3 linked regions of the Tamandua tetradactyla genome follow. The protein of the gene in region 3 interacts with the protein of the main gene of each other region in a pairwise test. Links are inferred from orthologs where the notes say so. Each region holds a gene or a part of one and is shown on either strand. Other genes may lie near its edges. The genes, in order: SNCA, UBE2R2 and UBA52.

Evidence for each region.
Region 1: the proteins of UBA52 (region 3) and SNCA interact in binary tests that used the Homo sapiens proteins (3 or more experiments, as listed by UniProt). The link is inferred for Tamandua tetradactyla from reciprocal best matches to the Homo sapiens genes UBA52 and SNCA.
Region 2: the proteins of UBA52 (region 3) and UBE2R2 interact in a two-hybrid assay, tested with the Homo sapiens proteins (2 studies listed by BioGRID and IntAct, with this or other methods). The link is inferred for Tamandua tetradactyla from reciprocal best matches to the Homo sapiens genes UBA52 and UBE2R2.

The regions. Positions count from the first base shown.
Region 1 is NC_135350.1:36,699,854-36,707,931, reverse strand, and holds the start of SNCA (alpha-synuclein), read right to left. Parts: upstream 3,046-8,078; 5' UTR 2,915-3,045; intron 1,835-2,914; exon of another isoform or gene 1,687-1,834; intron 1,439-1,686; 5' UTR 1,414-1,438; coding exon 1,293-1,413; intron 1-1,292. UniProt on the Homo sapiens protein: Neuronal protein that plays several roles in synaptic activity such as regulation of synaptic vesicle trafficking and subsequent neurotransmitter release.
Region 2 is NC_135328.1:62,250,000-62,256,944, reverse strand, and holds the start of UBE2R2 (ubiquitin-conjugating enzyme E2 R2), read left to right. Parts: upstream 1-3,882; 5' UTR 3,883-3,900; coding exon 3,901-4,077; intron 4,078-6,945. UniProt on the Homo sapiens protein: E2 ubiquitin-conjugating enzyme that accepts ubiquitin from an E1 ubiquitin-activating protein, and catalyzes its covalent attachment to other proteins by an E3 ubiquitin-protein ligase complex.
Region 3 is NC_135337.1:96,078,434-96,085,966, forward strand, and holds UBA52 (ubiquitin-ribosomal protein eL40 fusion protein), read right to left. Parts: upstream 2,601-7,533; 5' UTR 2,480-2,600; intron 2,092-2,479; exon of another isoform or gene 1,923-2,091; intron 1,802-1,922; 5' UTR 1,794-1,801; coding exon 1,691-1,793; intron 1,453-1,690; coding exon 1,366-1,452; intron 983-1,365; coding exon 880-982; intron 802-879; coding exon 708-801; 3' UTR 602-707; downstream 1-601. Other genes in the region: KXD1 (kxDL motif-containing protein 1), read right to left, coding at 3,873-4,183, 4,384-4,430, 5,427-5,579, 6,444-6,544.

The sequences.
Region 1 (8,078 bases), on a different chromosome or scaffold from region 3:
AAACTAAGGAAGTGCATATTAGTACCCTCAAAGAAAATCTTTAAAGTTATAAAGTAACTCAAGCCAAAATTACTACAGTGCACTTGCACAAGTTGGGCAATTTATGGCAAATGTAAAGGTACCTATAATCTGTGTGTCATTTATTCAGTATTGCAAATTTCACCTAAAGTTATGTAGTTCACACTTCACAAAACACTTAAACTCATTCAAGGTTTTTTCTCATGTAACACTCCTTATTGCAATGATTTCCTGAAAATATATCTTAAAGTAGAGGAATAAAAAGTAATTTTTCATAGAAAGGAGTCTATGAGCAACAATAAGAAAAAAAAATCTGATATAAATTTCAGTAAATTCATCCTCTACTTTATGGCTCATCCTGTGGCTAAAGCTGTCCTAACTGCCACTGAAGAATGTGGAAAAGTTCACAGGAGCAGAGTGTTAAGAGGAGAGGAAGAATGGGCAGTGTGTGTGTGTGTGTGTGTGTGTGTGTGTGAGTGTGAGTGTGTGAATGCCTCGTATATCACTCTTTCCCAAAAGAACTTCAAGTGGTTTATAAAATAAGACTCAACCTAATACACTCCTAGTTATATATAAATGAGGGTTCTGGTCTGGGTGAAAACTCCACTGTGGGAATTAGGAACAAGCAGAGGTGATAAGGATCAACCTTATTATTATATGTCAATTGAGAAATAAAATATATTTATGTTTCAGAGATATTAATAATAACACTCAAGTATTTTCTTAGGTTCTTAATTTCCAGTCTACCAAATGGTTACAAAGGGAAACTTCATGAGAGACTAATCTGTCCTTTCTATTTTGAGGTGATAGTAGGTCTCTTTTTCACCTATCTGAGGCCATAGTAAAGTCATATTTTAATATCAAAATAATACAAAAATTGAAGGAAGATTAATCATGAGGATAAGTCAAAAATAAATCATTTTGTTTCTTAAGGATATTCTTGATTTTTTAAAGATGCTGTTTTAAAAACTGTCATCTGAAATATAATCACTTATTCACAAAAACATTCATTTCTTAGAAAAGAAACAAAAAACCTTCAATATTATTGTGAAGTTGAATAATCAGGAAAAGCAAAAGATTAGCTCCATTTTGTACTAGTAGCTGAAATACACATTTACCTACCCACTCATACCTGACTAAGTTCATCCTTTTCACAAGTGATGACGCAAACATGAATCAAGCAAAGCATACCAGCCTTTCAGCATTTACAGTATCAATCATCCTAATCCATCGGTCATGAATAAATACTAAAATGGCATTGAGAGCTTACCTACCTACATAGAGAACCCCCTCTTTGGTCTTTCCTGCTGCCTCTGCCACACCCTGTTTGGTTTTTTCAGCAGCAGCCACCACTCCCTCCTTGGCCTTTGAAAGTCCTTTCATGAATACATCCATGGCTAACGAATTCCTTTACACCACACTAGAGGAAACAAAATACACCTCGAATGAGAACATCCTGGTAAAACAAAATTCAAACCTCCAAAGGTAAAACTACTTAAAAACTAGCAGAACTCCCCCACAGTGTGAGATACTTTCAAGTGTGCACTCATTTCAACCATCGGACAAGACCGCCCTTTAGCTTTTGCTTTAAATATTTAGCATCCCTTATCCATCTCGCTTAGTTGGGTCTAAATATGGATTAGGATGAATCATCTGAGCTGCCCTTACAGCTTTTCCGAAGTGGAGTTGCATGAAAGGCTATAACCCTCTTTCAACTTCCCAGGGTTCAAAAAAACCGTGACTAAGTTACAAGCACTTTTAGAAGACCACAGGAAAAGAAACGGAGCTGGAAGCTGGGCGCCTGAGGGAATCCTTAAAATGAATGTCGGAAGCGGACTGCCAAATTGATCCTGGGGAGCAAAGGCAAGGGAACTACTCACTTGGGTGTGGTTGACCCTCAGGCCAACAGCTCGCTCTAATCTACCCGACCATACACCCCCACCGTCAGCTATCAGCCCAGAGCAGGCGCCGTTCACACCCGCGGGCACACGACCCAGGAGCGCCACGGCAGAGACCGTTCTCAGCGCGAACCCGCCGGCGGGCTGGGGCTGGGAAGGCCAATACACGCACCTGTTAATCCCTTACCACCTGTTGATTTGCCCTCCCGGCACTTCCATTTAATTATTCGCCCAAAACAGCTTGCTTATTTTACAAGAGAAACCCAGAGGGCAGACTGAGGGATTTAAAGTAAGAGAAATAAAAGTTGGGTGCACACGCTCCAACAAGCATCCTCGCGGTTCCCAAAGGAGAAGTGTACCGCGAGGAAGCGACCGGACCTCTCAGCCTTTGGGAAGAAAGGGTGAATATGGAAATCATGTGGAAAGCCAGGTCAACTTACTCTCCTCAAGCTCACCAAAGGAATAAGAACCCATCCACGGTCCAGAGACTTGACACAGCCGGTGCTCACCTTGGCACCAAGCCCGGTCCCAGGCGTCCACGGTAACGTCACCCCTTTCCCACCAGGTCTTCTCCAGGATTCCTAAAGCTCCCAGCCCGTTTAGAGCTACAGGAACTTACCTGAGCCCCTACACTTCTCCTGAACTCTGATTCCAACCCCTGCTTTTAAATTTTTATTATTATTATTATTCTAGCTAAACAATTCCCACATATTATTTAAATGGAAAGAGAGAGGAAACGGAGCGCACAGGAAGGGCGCAAGCGGCACCAGGAGAGGGATGGTCCCCAGAGTAGGCTGCAGTCAGCACAACCCAGCGACAAGAGGCTGGGGGCGTGGGAGGCGAACTCGCGAACCTGTAGTCAAATTGCCACTCCCGGTTCCAAGCACAAGAGGCTCAGAAACAAACAGCAGAGGGTCGGAAGGGAAGGCGGGAGAGAGCCAGAAGGATGCTAAAGGCGGGGCTCGGTCCCCCGGGACCGTTCCAAAGCTAGCACATACCTGACTCTGCTACGTCGCCGCGCTTGCTCCTTCGCCCCCTTTCTCCAACCCCCTTCTCTGGCGCGTGGTCCTCCTCCTCTTCTTCCTCCCCTTTCTCCTCGGCTCACCGCCCCCACAGCTGATTTGTCAGCGCCTCTCCCCGCCCCTCTCCCGGAGCTCGCTGCTTTCCCTGCCTCGTGCACTTGGCTCGATTTTGTGTGTGCGTTGGGGGGTTGGGGAAAGGTGGAGTTATCCTTCCAACTGGAAGCGGCCCGCCTGGTCCTGCAAGGCGGAAAGGTAGGGTGTAGTGCGATTCACCCCAAGTACAGGGTCACCGGAACTACTGGGAGGCTCCGAAGCGGTTGGCCTCTGGCTAATGTCTCTCCCTCTTTTCCATTCGCCCTTTTCCCCTGTCTCTGCCTTTCTGTAAGATTCCTCTTGGGGACCCACTCGCCAGATCCAACCTCGGGAGCCGGGGGCCTAAGGGATAGAACACCAAAGTCCGAGTCAATCTCTTGGGGAGAGAGGCAGCCTAGGAAAGATGCTTATATCTGCACCTGCGAGAGCACGTTTCCCTCGGAGAGCTTAAGTTTGACCAGCGGTTGCTTTTGTTCAAATAGCTTCAGATATTCGTTTGCTCCCAACCCCAGAGGAGCCTGAAAGGACCCTCAAGCGGAGATGAGACTAAGGAAGACTTACAGGTTGAGGTAGGAGGAAGCTTGTCAAATCGTCTTCCCACCCCACTATCACCATTTTCTTTTCCACCAATCAGAGGCTGCCAGACGCTGAATTTCCCATCACTGGCACAAGGAATAAATATTCCCCAGCCGTCGAAAACCAGTGATCACAAGCTTTTCGCTTTTGAAGTGGGATTTACTTTCCAGACCCAAGTATCTGGATGGAGGGAACAAAAGCTGCCTGGTGTGCCCTGCTGGACCATCATATCCAATTTCCTCTTCGGTCCCTTCTGAAGATGAGACTTCATGCACCACACACCTTTCTGACTTCTGGTCCTTGTTGCTGTCGGAGCTGACACGTACCCGTGCACACACACACAAACGCGAGCGCGCCGCAAGACAATGTTTGCATCGCTTAATACATGTTCACCTCTCTAGAGCTGGGGCGGGGGTGGGGCTGGGGGTGGGAGGGGGGAGCTGTTCTTGGATCACAGTAGACTAAGCTCCTCCCTCAGCAGAATGTCTTTGCTTTCCTTTGCTGGGATTGGGAGGATGATTTCAGCCCTGGAAGGGAAAAACAAGTCTTCGCTATATGGTTTTGTTTTTGTTTTTAATTATTTTGTTTGTTTTTGCTGTTTTTTTTTTTATAGAAACAAAGATTTCTCTGATCCTTGCCTCGTTTGGGTTCTCGAAATGCAATCAAGAAACAATCATTTGAAATCTCAAAGGACAGAAAGCAAACGATATGTGTGAATATTATATATATATATATGTATATATAATCACGCGTGTTCGGTAGAAAAAAGAAGAGAAGAAAGTAAGTATGAGGTCATAAATACGTAAGGGCTTATTATTGGTGTGCCGTTTTTAAAAGCAGCCTTTCAAGAAAAACAGTTACATATATTTTGTATTTCCTGGATACAGAGAAAGAAGGTTGCACCTGGGAGATAGTTTGTAACCAGGCTTTGAGAACTTAAGGGTGGTTTTGCCTCCTTCTGTTTCTAGTTTTCTCTCTTATATAATGAGGAGGTGAACACAGATAATCCCTTTTTTTTCACCTTTTTTTATTATGGAAAATGTTCAGCTGTATCCCCAGGTAGAGACTATTACACAACTCCCACAGTTTTCAGTGGAATTCAGACCCATTCTGTCCTGATATTTACAATTTTTAGCAAATCCCAGGCATTACATATAAATTTTTTTACCTGTAAATCTTTCAGCATGTTTCCATAAAATATAAGAACTATTAAAAATAACAATGACATTTGATGATCTTCTTTAAGTTGAAGTATAATTTACATACAGTGAATGCTCAGACCTTAAGTGTTCCTTTAAACCAGTTTTGAAAAATCTCTGCATTAGTGTAATCCACACCATTTTGAAGATGCAGAAAGTTGTCTTTGCCCCTTCTTAGTTGTGTATAGTCTAGAATTTCATAAAAGGTTATACAAGATAATTTTTTTGTATCTATCATCTTTCCCTCAGCATAATGTATGTGAGGTTCATTCAAACTTCATTCAGAAATTTGTTTCTTTTATTTGCCTTTTATTGTTTCCCTTATGACTGCCAATAAAAAGTGATTTTCACAGTGACTTTTCTTGAGAGACTATTAAGATAATGATTTCATCAATTATTTGAGATGACACGTTTACATTTTAACAGAGACCTTCTTGAGACCTAATGCTTTAAATTAAAGGAATGACTGGAACTGGTTGATTTTTATAGGCTCCATGGCAGATGAAGGGGAGAGTTATTTGGGGGCAGCTGTTACTTTTCGTGCGTCTCATAACAGCATGATTCCACACCTCTATATGATAATTTATGCTTTGCAAAGCACTATTGCATTAATATTACCAAGTATTTTAATCCATCCTTCTGTTCATGGACTCTCAGGTTGTTTCCAGTTTGAAGAAATTATGAATAAAGTTGCTATGAAGCTTCTTTACAAGCCTTTCTACAGACACCTGCTTTCATTTATCTTCAGTAAATACATAAGAATGGAATCGCTACAGTAAATGTATGTTTAAGAAACTGCCAGGTCATTTTCAAAAGTAGTTGTACCATTTTACATTCATACAGAAATGTGTGAGAGTTCTGGTCTATACATGGTCCCCAACATTTGGGTTATAAATCTTTTTCCCTTTAGCCACCTTAATGGAATGTAGTGGTAACCCACATCTCATTGTGGTGTTTGATACTCTTTCACTGTTTCTTCCAATTCTCAATTTCAGATTTCTGTTAGGATTGACTTTAATTAAAAATAAATTTCCTTCCTTCCTTGTTTCCTTCCTTCCTTCCTTCCTTGTATACAACTTATTGGACTTAGAATGTGATAGCTTCAACCTTTTTCCCTTGGTCATTACTGGTCATGGATGTCTAAGATCAAAGGTAAACAATGTACTATTGTAGCAAATACCAATTTGAATCAGATATGAGAATGGATCTCTGTAATAAAACATAAGAATAAAATGGGGAAGGAAAGAATAATAAAAGTGTGGGAATATCATATTTAAGTTGCTGAAGGTGAGGTGGGGAGGAGATGGAGAAGGAGATAGTATCTTCCATTAAGACACAAGCAGATGAATTCAGACAGCCCTGAAAGTTGTCAGATGCCAGACATAGAGCTCCAGAGGAGAGCTGAGAAGGATGGGTGAATCAGAACACCCCAAATTAATCCTTTAAGGCCAGATCATTAGCTTTGTGATGATTCTGAGGGGTCTTAGTGGATGCTCACTTGCAACACACTGGCTCTATCTTCTTATGCCAGAGTTAAATCATGACTGTAATTGACCAGAACATTGTTTGACTTAGCCTTATTCTCTCTCACTTAGAAAAAAACAGATCAAGTAATAAAGGGATAGAAAATCTAGATTAAAATCAATCACCCTCTTGTAAAGAATCGTTTTGAAAAGTGTCTTTTCTTTTCTGAAGTATAAATCCTAAATCTTATTTTCAACTAAGCTCTGTGAACCTTAAATGCAGCATGTGGATATGCATGTAGAATGGTAGAATAGAAAAATTACCCTGTCAGCAATTGCCAATCTTAGTAACACAATAAACTGGTGCCCCCTTTCTGTTCTCTGCTTTCCCAAGTCCTGCAAGAAGACACCCCTCACCAAAAGCATGCAAGACCATTCATAGTCAATTTCACATTTGTGGGACCTCCCCTGCCAACAATAAACATTTTCCACTGTGACTCAACATAGCTACCTACCATGATAAATTATTATGATACTTATTTTATATATGATTTCATATGACATATTTATAGTTTATCAGGGACACATACTGAGAACTGATATATTAAGTCAAGGAGTGACTAAAATGATAAGTATTTTAGGGCCTATATCAGACCACTGGTAGAATTATTTTGGGGTGGTTTTTTGTGTGTGCATTTTTATAAATAAGATGATTCCATGCCTTCATATGGTACTTTTTGCTTTGCAAAAGACTAACACACTGTATCATTCAATCATAACAGAGGACTAAGTTAAGTTTTATTATGTAACTTTGAGGCTGAGATCACCCAGCTCTCATGTGGCAGAGTTGAGATCCCCAGCAGAAACCATTCCAAGAGGAATTATCATTTCCTGACTCAACAGTTACCATCTGAAGCCTCATATTTTTGGAGTGATGTATGGTGAGAAGGAAAAGAAAGTGGATCCCCACTATGTTAGAATTAGCCTTTGAATTTAGATATGACAATCCAAATCAAAGAGAATTTATGTAATTATAAAATAGTGCATCTATATTTGAAAATGTGCCTTTTTGTATTGATACTTCTTAGCAGGCAGAAATGATTTCTCAACATCTGCAAAATAAAAAAAAAAGAAAAAAAACAAAATTATAAAATGATTGTTTTCTGTCATTTTGAATTAGAATTATAAGTTTTACTCTTCTTTTTGCACTTCAAAGTGCTTTGAACATGTAAGCATCCTTTTAAAATAAAATTAAATAAAACATTTTGTTATTTAGAAGATTTTCAATTAACATAAAATTAAAAGTAAAATTTCAGTTAGTGATAACATCAGCAGTGATTGCTTATGTTCTACCTGTAATTTCTTACCTCCATATTCTTAAGGAGGTGTGCTTCCCCAGAACAAAGAAGGGAACTGGAAGTTAATACGCATACTTTCCTTTCCAACATTGATTGACAGAATGGGATTGAATAAATTTTAACCCTCTGAATATAAGGTTAAAATTTAAACTAGTTGGATGGATTGTTCCTTTTCAGAATACAGAATAATAACCTGTTGCGAAGCACTACTGAGGTGTGCATTCAGGTAGTAAGAACTGAATACATGTTTAATTTTCTCTTTGAAAAATAGAGTCTAAATATTTTCCTACTCCTTAATTGGGTTATTTTATTTTGGTTTAATACCATAATTTAGTATAGATAAACATCTATGAAATGCATGCTTAACATAAACTTTCTTCGTCTTCCCAATAAAACAACTAGTGTTTTACACGGGGCCATGTGGTCAATTCATATTGTAACAAAGGAAGTC
Region 2 (6,945 bases), on a different chromosome or scaffold from region 3:
TGAAGAAGGATGGCTGAGGTTCAACTGCAGGTTCTATGTTTACTAGTTGTGTGACATTGGGCAACTTTCCTTACCTCTTTAAGCTTTGGTTTACTCATTGGTAAAATAGAGATTCTAGTAACAGCCATGTCATTGGTTTAATGAGGATTTAAAGGGACAATGCATGTAAAATGTCTGTGCCATAGTGATGCTCAGCAAATGCCAGTTATAATCATTAGAAGAAATGTGTGGCCCCTTAAGAGCAGTGCCCAAATCTTACACAGTTGGTGTCATGTTGAATGAATGAAAAAAAATTGGCTTCTTAGAATCATTCTGTAAAGCCAAAATCAACATTTCTAAAGCAAATACCAATACCCTCCCTCCATTTATCTTGCCAAGATTTCCATATTTTTTCTATCTGGAAGAAAGGAAATAGATTGTTCAGGAGCACCCTGCTTAGAGAGTAGCAGGTGATGCAACAGACTGGGCCTAGGCATCTAACTAAAACATCAGTTACCACCAGAGGGCACCAGCCAGTGAAGTCAATCTATTTATGTCTTAAATCTATGGCATTACGAGATGAGAAAGCTCTAAGAGGCTGTTTCTGCCATTCATCCTTTTGATAAATGTTTTGAGCCCCTACTATATGCCAAGCAGTGTAGTAGCTCGCATATGGTTATGAATAAGACCTGTTATCCTTATGGAATTTCTAACCTTGAGCACCTTTTATGTGCCCAAGAGATCATATTAGGCATGGGAGTGGGAGTTCAATTTGTTACTTTTTTTGTTACTGATTGTCTTCCTGCCTTTGGCTGTGAGTCCATGAGAACAATTACTTTAGTGTCTAATTGTGTTTGACAGTGTGTTGGTTGCTGAGGATATATAGATGAATAAGACACAGTTGCAGTCTACTAATGAACAATGTCTTATGTGCTACAATAAAATGACATGAAACTGGTTCTGTGGAATTCCAGTTCTTCTGACCTAAGGATGGAAAGTCTCGAGTACACAGTTCACTAATCAACTAGGCTGTGAGTCTCCCAGACAAATGAGTTTGTCAGCTACCCAACTTTGGGTGATGCCCAAATGGATGTTTAATATGAGTCTGCCAGTTGATGTGAGCTAAAGGAGCAGTTTTAGGTCTGGATGCCAAATATATATTCAAGTGGGTTAGGCTAGGGATTCACCATCCTTTGGATTAGGGTGGAGCTGTGACGAATTTATGTGGGTGAAATGCTTTGAAGATGAAGTTTCTGCCTATTTGTCTGTTCAGAGCCTTGTTATTAAAGGTGTCAACATTACCTCCCACATTTCCGGGTCAGCAAACTTCTTGTACCCAAAGTGAGGGGGAGGGGAAGCCAGAACCAGTCATACAATATCATTTTTGTGAGAAGGAGCTACATTGACTCGAGTTTTCTGCCTTTTCTGAGGGGAGCTCTAAGTTCGGTTGTGTTTGGTGCCAAGACCTAGGGGAGTGGTTGGGGTCTAGAGAATTATCCTTTAATTAAAATACTGAGACCCCCATCTTTGAGAAAAATGAACAAAAAAATGAATGGGATCCTTTAAATGTTGGGCTGCACATAGTGACTTCCTTCCAAAGGGTATCGTATAGAAAGGAGAAAAAAGTAGACTTTTTTTTTTCTCAAAGGAGAAGCTTGACAAATACCAGTCAGATGATCAAGGTGAATGCTGTGACAAATCATATTGATAGTATGTACCTTTGATATGATATGATGTGATGAAAATGGCACTTTATCATTGTGATCTTCATCCCAGAGATACATAACTGTAGTCTAATTAGGAGAAAAATGTCACACAAATCCCAATTGAGGGCCAGTCTACAAAATACCTCACCAATATTCCTGAAAACTGTCAAGGTCATAAAAAACAAGGAAAGTCTGAGAAATTGCAACAGCCCAAAGGAAGGCGCCTAAAGAGACACGATAATTAAATGTGATGTGGTGTCCTAGATAGGATCTGGAACAGAAAAAGGACATTAGGTAAAAACTAAGGAAAGCTGAATAATGTATGGATTTTAGTTAATAATGATGTTCATTAATTGTAATAAATGTACCATATTAGTGTAAGATATTAATAATGGGGGAAACTGGATGACGTTTATGGGAATTCTCTGTACTATTTCTCATTGGTAAATCTAAAACTTTAAAAAGTCTATTTTTAAAACAAAACAAAGGAAGTGGTGTTCAGAATACAACTGTGACGCTTAATTTTTTTCTTTCTTTCAAGGTCCTATTTATGGATCATTTACGACGTCAGTCATTATGCTAAACGCTGTACATAAATCTCTTTTGATCATCACAATTGCTTGTTAGGTATAATTAACCTCCTTTAGAGACGCTGATGATACAGAGGTAATGTAAATGATGGAGCCAGGGCTGGAACCAAGACTTCAGATAGTAAAATTCTGAGTGTGTGGAGCCCTCACAGTATCCCGGCTTTTCTAGGAAACATCTAGGCAAATTTAATAGAAAGTGCCTTTCTAAAGAAAGGGGTATACAAAAATCAAGGGCACTGAAGACTGTCCTCACATCTCACCTCAATCATGATTATCTTAAAAGCCCGTCACTTCCAGGTTGGATTTTGAAGCTGAAAGGGGTCAAAGTCAGAACATGGTATTTTACAAATGGGCAAACTGAGGGGCAGTGAGAATACTTGCCCCAAAGTACACAGAAAATGATCAGGAACCGAGGTTCAGCCTCTAGCACTATTTTTCTCTCTCTTTTTAACCCCCCTTCAACTTCCTCTTTGTAGTTAAGAAGGGAAGTAGGAGCTATCTGTCTTCCTCAATTTCTCGGGTCGGAAACTCTCCCTCCCCCAGGTAAGTGACTTGCCCAAGGACCCTCCGGCATGAGGACCGAAAGTTCGTGCCGGGGAGACGTGGTGAAGTTGATGTCATCACAATACCCACATTCAAAGCACATCCTTCTCAATCACCTACTGGGTGTAGGGCCCGCATACTGAGGGCCTCGGGGAGGGCCTGCGGGGTCCCTGGACTCGTCAGGGAATGTGTGCGGAGGCCGAACGTTCTCGTCGGTACCTAGTAGGAGGGCGCTGATAGCTCTTGGATCTGAGGTCCCTTTGCGGGAGCGCCTGTGGAACCCCGGCGTTGAGCTTCACTACCTTGATTTTATGGCCAACGTTGTCCCTTGCGGCCACCCTAGGCCCCCACCCGCGGCCAACGTCACAAAGCGCCGCCACGGCGCGGGGCTGTGGAGGAGGCGGGGATCTGGGAGGAGGAGGGCGAGGAGGGCAGGGAGGGCGGGGGAGGGAGGGGCGCGCGCACGCGCGTCGGGCCGCCAGCCGCTGCGAGCCACCCTCTCCGGGCGCGCGCCCCTCCTCCCTCCCTGCTTCTTCTGGGCTCTGTCGCTCCCGCGGCGCGAGGCGCTCTTGCTTCTCTCCTCCTCCGTCGCCCCTCCCCCCGCGCAGCCGCCGCCACCGCGAGACCCTCGCGTGCCGCCCTCCCCCTCCCACCTGGGCCCCGGCAGACCCCCTGGAGAACGAGAGGGCGAGCGAGCGCCGCGTTCCCGGGCCAGCACCCTCCCCTCACCGTCGCCAGCCCTCCACCGCCTTCCTCCGCCTCCACCTCCTCGACCCCCCCCCCCCCCAGCTGAGGCCCCCTCGGGGGGGGGAGGCCCCAGACCCGGAGCGAATTCCCCCTAACTCCCTCGACCCCTCCCCCCCGCCCGTCCAAGTGTGAGGAGAAGGGCCCGGCCCGGCCCGCGTCGCGTGTGAGGAGGACTCCGGACCGGCCCGCGGGCCGTCTGGGGCCTGGTCCGGCCCGCCGGGTGTGTGAAGACAGGGGCCCGGCGCGGCCCGGCCCGAGGGCAAGCGGAGGGGAGGGGCCTGCTCCGGCCCGGCGGGTGCGTGAGGACTGGGGCCCGGGCCGGTGCCACCGCCGCGATGGCCCAGCAGCAGATGACCAGCTCGCAGAAGGCCCTGATGCTCGAGCTGAAATCCCTGCAGGAGGAACCGGTGGAGGGCTTCCGGATCACCCTGGTGGATGAGTCCGACCTCTACAACTGGGAGGTGGCCATCTTCGGACCCCCCAACACCCTCTACGAAGGCGGCTACTTCAAGGTACCTTTCCCCCTTCCCGGACCTGGCTTTCCCCGGCCGAGTCTTCTGCTCCTCGTTCGGTTTCATCTGTTTTCGGGGCTAGAAGTGGGAGCGCGTGTGAGTGGAGGGGGCTCCTCACCTCGGCAGCCCCCTCCCCCCATCCGTGGAGGCAGGAAGGCCTTGCTCACGAAGTGCCTTTTCTTTGTCATGGGGGCGGGGGCGGGAGGGGAGGCCAGACTGCGCTGGGAAATAGAAAAAGTCTCTTTTTGGCTAGGGTAGTAGAGAACGGAGAAGGAGGGCTGTCTTTGTTTCCCCAGCTGAGGGTGTATGGAAAGAAAGGTAGTTTGTCTTTTCTATCTCCTTCTCCCATCAGAATCATCCCTGCGTAGGCTGGAACTGCCCCAGAGGGCAGGGTGACCTGCACTTATTGGGTTTTTCTTTTTTTGGGGTGCGGGTGGGGGTGGGGACATTAGCCTGTCATCCCAGAGGCTGTCTAGTGACCTGACATTTTGAGGATTTGTTGGGATTCTTGGCTATTGGTAGTTCCAAGTTTGCATTCCAGTGGGCGGTAATGAAGAATAGGACCCTGGGGGTGGTGGGGAAAAAAAGGGTGCCTACGTTTTCTTGCCATTATCCAGTTGAGGGAACTTTATCTAGACCTTTTTCTGACCTGGTTCTCTATTTACTTCAGTAGTGTTTCGAAATGCCCTTTGTCCTCCCCCTGCCACCAACTTTACTGGCATTTTTTTCTATATGTACAGGAGTGGAGACAAAATTGAAACCTTTTACTCAGGTAGTTAACTCTAGCAAATGGGGTGATCTCACAGTAGAAAATTATCTTTGGAGGTGAGGTGGTTTCACAGGGTGGGTTGGCTCCTTATACAGCCAACAAAGAAGTTGTCTGTTCTCTATGATTTAGAACAGTGGTTATGATCATTCCTGAATCTAGTGTTTTTGTTTTTACTCTTAATATAGGTATCTTGAAGATACTAAATTTTTATTTTATTTTAGAGTTTTTGGCGAGACAATCACAAATTGAAGATTTGAATGTTTTAATTGACAGGAAATGAGTGCTTAGGAATTCATTTAATTTAGTTTTTTTATTTCCAAAATTAAGTAAAATAGATCAGTGAGTCAGTTTTAGTTTGTTTTGAAGGGAGGGACTATCTTGGCACAGGTTTTAAATGAGTATCTTAGTCATGTAGTTATGATGTGTATTTTTAGGACTACCCAATTACTTAACTCTTGTTTTCTACCCTTCTAAAGGTAGAAGCCTCAGTTTCAGGCTTGAAATTCTGTCCACTTTTGTAGACCCTTTGAAGGATTGATGCCATAATGTCTAATATTCATGCCTGTGGTGATGATTCAACAACCTAGTAAGAGCAGATTTTTAGAGTACTGTGTAAGAGAGGTATCCTTACCAACTGTGCTTTGTGGTTAGCGTGCAGCATTCTTTTCACATACAGATATTCAAAATCACTAAGTAAATATACAAGTTGTTTGTGATAGATTGAAGAAGGGTAGTCCTGTGTCCATGTTGAGGCCTCATTTTACTACTGTTATTAAATATAAATATAAATTTTTGTTTATGGATACTGGAAAATTATTTACACAAAATGGAATTTATTTGACAATTTTTCTAGCAAAATTATTTAGCAAAATCTACTGACTAACTTTAGCAGAATAAAGATTAATTTCTTAAAAAGTATCATAGTTTGGGACAGTTGACAGTCAAATAAATAGGTGCTAGTTAGAATAATTGCTCTAATGCTGTTTGTTTAAAAAAGTGTGAAAGAAAATAATAGGCTATAAATTATAGTAGATTAGATAAATTTTGCCTAAATTACTAGGGAAGGAGTATGGAGAAACCTGGCAGTTCAGAATAGATTGTATGGAAGAAAGATTCCTTAGAACAGTCATTGATTTAAATTAAACACTTTTAGTGCTGCTTAAAAAAAAGATTTAATCTCAATTTCATTGTATGTGTTAGATTTCCTAATCTTTCAGGTTTTCTTTACCTTTAATTCTGATATGTGAAAAAAAAATTCTTTAAAAAAATTCTTGAAGTTGTCATGTTTTAGTGTTTGAGAAGTTTGTTCAATTAATTGTATTTTCTTCTATTATTTTCCTCATTGATTGCCCTTTTATCCCATTAGCCCTTTATAATAAAGAGGAGTTAACACAGGTGATAGGTTTAAAACCATTGTTTAGTAGTTCACTACTTTTGACTCAAAACAAAACTTGCCCTGCTATTGCACTACAGCTGCAATTAAAAAGTTGGCACAGAGCTTTCCCTGCCATTATTCTCTTCCCTTATCAAATGTTAGTCCTTTAACATTTAGTATAATTTATTTTTAACTTAAATGCTTCTGTATTTTGCATAATAATTTGTGAAGGCTATGGAACTGTCATTCTTTAAGTTTTCCATATAACAGTACTTTTATATACCAGTAGACTACTAATTGATCTTTTTCCCCATGAAATAGTTGACTCTAGTTTGTTTTAACTAGAAGTTCTGTTGTGGAGACTTGTGAGACATGTATTTCACAATTTTTAAAAATTCATTCTGCTTTTTTTTTTTTTTTAATAATTCTAATCCTTGTGATTCTTAGTTTTGGGGTTATGAATGTGTGTTGGGTAAGGTAGTTTCTTGTGTCTATTCTGCACATATGAAAATATTTTTTGATTTTGCTCTCTTTTTGTCCACTTAATCTTATTGACCTTCTGAATTTCTTTGCTGCTTGGAATTTTTCCTCTAGGGGTCATTTGTGTACAAAAGACAAAGTAGGAGATGGTTTAGAACACTGAGAAAATCCCTGAACTTGATTTTGCTACAGTGGAGCAAGTCAGAATTTTATTCTGTTATTGGAAAAATAAATTGTTGATCAA
Region 3 (7,533 bases):
GTGAAGAGACTGACTGTGCCCTCGGGCTCTGTCCTCCTGCGACTCCAGGCCCAGGGGTGCTGCACAGCAGATAACTGTGGGCAGATGGAGGGTGACTGGCCCAGTGGAACCCCAACAGCTGAAGCTGGAGGTGCCTGAGACTGTAGCCCCAGGGAAGCCAATGTGGAAAAGGCTCTGGGCTGTTTTCAGGCATCACCAGGCCCTAGTAAAGGCTGGCCAGGAAGAGGGTGGTGAGAGCCAGGCCATGAGTGGTCAGTCGTGCAGCCCTGCCACTCACTCAGCCTTTCTAGAAAGCCCCTCTGTGCTGGTATGAGTGAGAACCTGTAGCTGGCCCAGCTGGGGCTCCCACCTAGCTGCTCATCTGCCTACACCTGGATGCTTCCCAGAGCACAGGGAGTCTGGCCAGGTGAAAACCACAGCTGGTCCATGGTCTTCTGACCGACGGTCTCCATTCTCCCCTGCAGGTGAGGCTGAGTAGCTTTCTGTATGACACAGAGTCATACCCAGGAAAGGGCAGAATCCAGGGAACGGGGGCATGGCCCCATGCTAGAGGGCCACTCAGGGCCCCTCCTCTCGCACAGACCAGCCACATGGACACCTGTTACTGCTTCAGTCAACCAAAAGGAAACTTTATTGAGGTCTCAGGGCCATGGGACTCTGGAAAGAGGCTGCCCTGCCAGAGGCCGAGGAACCATGGAAAAGGGTCCTTATTTGACCTTCTTTTTTGGGCGCAGGTTGTTGGTGTGGCCGCACTTCTTCTTGCGGCAGTTGACAGCACGGGGGTGCAGGCGAGCATAGCACCTGGGGGTACAAAAGGGGCTGGTGAGGGCGCCACCCACCACCCCACCCTTGTCCGCCATAACACGCCTGGCCGCTTACTTGCGGCAGATCATCTTGTCGCAGTTGTACTTCTGGGCGAGCTGGCGGAGGGAAGGCTCAATGATGCCACCTCGAAGACGGAGTACCAGATGCAGGGTGGACTCTGTGGGGGAGGGGGGCGGGGGGCGGGGCAGCCTCAGCAAAGGGTGTTTTCGGGCTGGAGCCCCTCCACGGGGAGCACAGCCCCACCCACAGTGTCCATTTGGGTTTACCCAAACTCCAGAGGAACGTCTAACAGTGCAGGGGCAAACCTTTTACAGGTAAGACATTAAGTCTCATAACTGAGACGAATGGCACCAGTTTCCTCTATAGCAGTTCTAAGTGTCCCTTATCGCATTTCTAAATGCAATGAAGTCCCATAGTGAAGAACATAGGACACCGAGGCTGTTGGGAAATAATGGTCGAGGCTGAACTCCGTGTTTTATCACGCAGAGCGCCCACCAGGGCCAAAGGCTGCTTGTCCTGGGTGCCTGCTCCCCTGCATACCTTTCTGGATGTTGTAGTCTGAAAGAGTGCGGCCGTCCTCCAGCTGTTTGCCGGCAAAAATCAGACGCTGCTGGTCAGGCGGGATCCCTGAGGGGAAAGCAGAAAGCCCGCATGGCTGAGGCTCTGCTGAGTGACACGTCCTGGAAGCTCCTTCCCAGGGGGTCTCAGCATCCCCCCATCCTATCCAAGGGGAAACCGAGGCACGGGGCGAACAAGCCTTCCATGGTGACACTGGGGACTGCTGACGGAGCCGTGGCCTGTCTGGGCCGCACTCCCACTCCACACACGGCAGCACCTCCCTGGTGCTCCCCCCTGCCAGACTAACCCTCCTTGTCTTGGATCTTGGCCTTGACATTCTCGATGGTGTCGCTGGGCTCGACCTCGAGGGTGATGGTCTTGCCCGTTAGGGTCTTCACGAAGATCTGCATCTCTGCGTCTGTCGGGGTGGGCGGGGCTCAGCTCCAGCTCGGGCGCTGCCCGCCCCCGCCCCGCGGCTACCGCCATCGCCCTCCCACCCAGCCGGGCCTACAGTCCTGCCAGGACCGTCCTCTCCCCACCCTACTGCTTGATCCCTTGGCTGGAGCGGGCTTCACAGCGAGCAGGGCCAGATTCAGCCTCCTCACGCCTGATTCACGCGGGCCATGCGGAGAGGGGACGAGCGCAGGCCTGCCGACAGCCGGCAAGCCCTCGCACCTCCCGGCCGGCTTAGGAGCCAAGCCCCATCTCCTCAGACCGTCTCCTCTGCTTCCCACGCAGGATGCCCTGGCCCCACGCCGCGCCTCTGCCCACCACGTGATACAGGCCTGCTGAACGCGTCTCAGAAGCCCGAGAGTTGGCGCCGGGCCCTCGCAGCAGACGGGGTGGGTGCGGAGACCCGGCTCGGGAGGTGCCGCGCGGCTCCAGGGCTCTCCGCGCGGGGTCTGGCCCGGAGGAGACTCGCCCCCCTGACTCGGCGCTGCCCCTTCGGCCCCCAGGCCTCCGGGTCGCGCGCTCGGGGTCGCGGGGCGGGAAGGCCTCTTTCCCAGTCCCACTCGCCTCTCGCGGCCCCGCCCGGCCCCGCCACCCCCCGCAGGACCCCGGCAAGGCGCGAACCCGCACTGTCGCCGACACCCACCTTCCCGGCCGCCTCGTTGAAGAGAAAGAGGGAGGCGGAACCGGAAATCGCCGATTCGCCCCGAGAGCGCCTGCGCACCGAGCACGCCGCGCGCTTGCGTCACAATGCGCGCCGCGCCCCGCCCCCAATGCCGCCACCATGTTGACTGCTGGCGAGCGAAGCCGCGGCGAGTGTGGGCGGGCGGCAGCGACGCGCTTCCTTGTGCGGGCCCCACCCCCCGCAGGGTCACGTTGAAGAGGCCGCACCTTGGCAGGTGCTGGGCCCCGGGCCTGCCGCGTGGCGGTGGGGCCGAGCCGTGGAGAGGGTGTCTGGGGAACGAGGGCTCCGAGCTTCCGGGTGGGAAACAGTGCCTTCGCCCCGGACGCGGCGGGACGCATGGACTGTTGGGGGCTGTCGGGTGGCCTCCAGGTGCGGTATGCGGGAAGGGGTAGGGACCCACTCGTATTTTTTTTTTTTTTTAATTGGCTGGTGCTTAAATGAGACAGCACAACGTAGCACAGTATTTTTTTTTTTTAAAAAAAAGCAGATGTTTTATTGGCCTAATTCCTCAGTGCCTTGCGGGAAGGGACAGGGCTCTGAGTTTAGCAGGCAGTGGGACCCACCCTGGGGATCAGGTATGAGGGTCAGAGCTGGGGAGAAGAGGAGGGAGGGAAACTGTCCAATGCCCAGGTAGTGGTGGGGAGTAGGGCTGTGGTAGCAGCTGCCACTACTGGCTCCCCCCATGGCAGCCATGCCTCTCCCTAGACACGTAGCATGTCCTGCCCATAGGGCCCCAGGATTGAAGGAAGCCACTGCCAGGCACACATTTCCCTTTTTAGTAATGGACTCTTTATTGATAACTTCCCAACAGCATCTGTAAACATCGGGTACAAAAATATTGCGTTCAACTCTGTTTTCGAGGTGGCTCGGCTGGCCCCGGGGACCTTGGGGAGACCTGCCTGGCACTCAGGGTCTGTGCCTCAGATCAGGGAACCTCCGGCTTCAGGCCCAGGCTTGCAAGGCTGCCACCCTCCCTCAAGAGCCTCCGATCCCAGAAGCTCCCCTAGGGGATACCGGTTGGAGAAATCCATCTACGCTTTCAGCAGAAGAAGGGACAGGGAGATCCGAATTAGTGGGGTGGGGTGAGGCGGCGCTCTGCCTCCAGGAGGACCTGGCCTGGGGGCCAGGACATCTGGCTCTGCTCACCTTTTTTGGGTCTGTTCAGAACAGACCCTGGTCTGGAAAAGCTCCTTCCTGCCCAGCCCGATGCCAGCTGGGCAAGCCGTGCCCCTGGCTGGCAGAGGGCCTGCAGGAGAGCTGCGTGCTTAAGAGGCGGGAGCAGTGCGGAGGGCCCTGGAAAGCTGACTCAGAGACGGGCTCCCCACGCTGGGACCTGAGAGCCCAGGGAGCAGTGCTACTCGCCCGGCATCCCCTCGTCATCCCACTCGCTGCGGCCATTGACCACAGGGGAGATGGGCCTGACGTGGGACAGGTCCTCAAAGTCCGGGCTGGGGGGCGGCGAGACGAGGTCGGGGCTGGTGTCACAGGAGCCTGTGCTTTGCTCCGAGGTAGCGATGGTGGTGGTGGTGCTGGGTGGGATGGGGTCCTCGTCCTCGTCCTCCAGGAGGGATGCCTCAGGGATGTCTGCAGGGCACAGGCCCACCAGTTCAAGTCCTGCCTCTGCCCCTTCCTCGCTGCGCCCTCTTCCACCGGGTGCTACCCCTCCTGGGGCAGTGGGAAGCCTGTGTTGGGCTCACTGGGTGACGGCTGTCCCTATACCTGTCCACCTTCCCTGAGCGACCTCCCCCCAGAGAGGGGCCCAATCACAGCAGTTCTCTGCAGACCCTACCCCACCGACCCCTGGCCTGGGTCTCCCTGGGCCACCCCCCAGGGCCTGGTGGGTGCACAGCCCCAGCGACACTCACGGCTGAAGGCCTCAGGGTGCTGCCTGGCCAGTTTCCCCTTCAGCGTCCTGCAGAGGAGGAAGCACATGGGGCTGGGGGGAGCGAGCATGGCCAGGGGTCCTTGGGGTCCTTGCCCCGCCCCACACACGGCCTGTCTCAGCCCTGGGGTGGCCTCATGCTGCCCTGGCAGGCACCTGGGGACCACATGGGGCGCCACACAGCCTGCCCTCCTGGGATCTAAGCTCCGAGACCTGGAACCCGCTTGGGCAGCTTCTCCCCAGCAGTCACTCCTCCGTGCCCCTGGCTGCATCCTGCCCTCCATGGGGTCCTGGGGGCTGGGACCCGGCAGGCACCCGGGGAGGTTGTGTGGGAAAATGCACGGCCTTGGCCCTTGCTGAACTGGAGCTGGCAGGGGGGCCCCTGCTTCCTTCTTCAAGCCGGGGGTCCTTCATTTCCCCAGTCTGTGCTTCTATGGTTACCCCCAGCAAGGGAGGGTCCCCAGCTCCTGCCCCACGAAGGTACCCTCACTGTCTTGCTTCCCCCTCAGCCAGTCTGGGCACCTGGCAGGGCGCCCTCCTGGCAGGCCACAGGTGCAGCTGCAAGCAGGGAGGAAGGCTGGGCGTGGGGACAGTCCAGCAGAGCCCAGGGACCACGGAAGGCCTGGCATAGATCCCCTGCGGCCCAGGCCCCATGGCCAGCACCTCTCGGCCCAAGGGCTTGCTTTATTTTCCACTAAGGATGGCAAGCTGCTGAGGGACTCACAAATTGCCTCCCTGGCCTCCCTGACGGCCCTGCTGGGGCGGGGGCGGGGGGGGGGGGGCTGGTGAGGGGCTGCCAGTCCTTTTGTATCATGGGTCCCGAGATCTATCAACTTTTTCAAAGAATAAAGTTAAAACCGAAAACTGTAAAAGATTTTTATCCCAAAACCCAGACCTCCCCCGATGCCACCTCAAGGCTCTGTGGAGGTGTGCAGAGAAGGGCGGGGGCCGGGGTGGGGTGCGGTGAGGCAGGGACTGGACCGGAGGGGTGGGGACGGGACCGGAGGGGCGGGGGCAGGTACCCACCGGATCCTGCGGAAGATGCTGTCCAGGTCCCGCTTCATCTCCACCAGGGTCCTGGTGTGGTGCAGGAAGCGCTCGCTCATCTGCTGCAGGCGGGCACTCGACAGGTTGTTGAAGTTCAGCAGCATCTCATTGGTCTTCTCAAAGCGGTCGAGCCTGCGTGCAGGGTGCAGGCATTAGTTCTTCCGCTGGGACCGGAACCCGCAGTTCAAACCTCCAGAACTGACCCGCTAAGGCCTTTTTGGCTTTTTGGCCGTGTTCCTTTGTTCTACAGCACTTCACCCAAACTCCTATTCATCTTTAAAAACCCTACTCAAGTGTGTCCTCCTTCTGTCACTGTCACCTGCTCCCTCAAGCAGGCTCTTTACTCTGTCTCTTGACTCCCCCAAACCCAGATTCTTCCTCCTGGCACGGTCCAGACCAATACAGCTGGAGGGTGGAAGGGCATTTGGCTTTGTCTCCCCAGTCTGGGAGTTCCCAAGGCCAGGTTGGAACCTGACCTAATGAATGAGCTGAGAAGGATACTTCTAAGATTCGGCACACTCAGCACCCCTGTCACAAGGTGAGAGAAACACAAGGAAATCACATCTGTGCTTTGTCCCAAGTGGAGGGCATGGAGGGCCTTCGGCTTAAGGAGCTGACAGCAAAGGCTGTCCGCCCTTCCCCAGGACTAGGGTTCTGGATCCCGAGGGCACAGGGCATTCACAGCCCCTACAGGAAGTCAGCTCACCGGCTTTCTCCCACTCCCTCACCCCCCCAGTGGCCCACTGCTGTCCCCCCAGCTCTCCCCAGCCCAGGCTTGGGACAGGAGTCTCGGCAGCCCACGCCAAGCCATCCACAGCTGCAACCCTTCCCCGGCCCTGCTTCCCGTGCCAAGGCCTCGCCTCCAGGCCTGCAAGGAGTTCGCTCTGGAGCCAGCCAGGCAGATTTGCTCATTTCCTTCGTTTTATCCCCAGCGCGGGCCTGGGACAGGGGCGGGGCTGGGCCCCCACTCCAGGCCGGCGCGTGGCCGCCACTCACATGTTCTTCTGGGCCTGGATGATGGCGTTGACGTCGTCCGCGTCCACCATGTTCAGGATGCGGCTGCAGAAGACCCTCGAGGCCGAGTCCGGGGGCTCCATCCCTCCCTCTGTCTTCGCTGCCTGGAATGGGCAGGAAGAGCCTGGTCAGTGCCAGGCCCCAGGTGGCGTCACTAGGCCCCCGAGCCTCAGCTGGGAATTTGGGGGGGTTAGGAGAACTAGAGGAGGTTGCTTTGGGCTGAACTGTGTCCCCCCAAAAGACATCAGAGTCCTGGCACCCAGTGTTGCAAACGGGGCCTCCTCTGGAAGGAGGGCCTCTGCAGCTGCCGTCCGCGAAGCCGCAGTCATGATGGAGCCACGCGGCCCCTGACCCACTAGGTCGGGGAGCTGGACCCACATGGACAGGGGCAGAGAGGAGCACACCGCTGCACAGGCAGTCTTCAGGGGAGGTCCTGCTGCGCAGGCACGTCCCACCCAGACCCCTCCCAGTTCCTCGGCCCCCAGGGCCCTGGCATTCTCGCCTGCGGAGCTCAGTCAGCCGCCTCCCTTGCCTGCTCTGCTCCAGGGCCTCTGCGCTAGCTGTTTCCATGGCTGGACTGTGCGCGGCGGCCCCTCGAATCACCATTCACCCCCACGGACTCCTCCCCAAGAAGTCCTACATGGCCACCCCGACCCTGCCCCTCATCACTTGGCCTCGTTTGGATCTCTTCATTCCAAAAATTATCTCCATCCTGAGCTGGCCTGTTGGTCTGCTGCCCCTGCCTCCACGGCAGCCCCAGGAAGGACCCACATCTGTCTTGTTCGCTCCTCTGCCTCCAGGGCTGACCCAGAACCTGGCTCATAGTGCTCCCCAGAACTTAGCTGACATAAGAGTTTTATTACCAAGTTAAAGCCAAGGGTTTCAGGCTCTGGCCACCCAGCTGTGCAGCACCCATCTTCCCTGGCAAAACTCAGGCTGAGGGTTGCTTCCCAGGCCCTTGAACAGGAAGGGTCACGGTTTCCATGCCATCCCTCCTGGAGGGGGTAGGAAAAGCCTGAAATCCCAGCTGGCTTAGCTCTGGGGCCCATACATGTAGTGGCTGACCGACAGG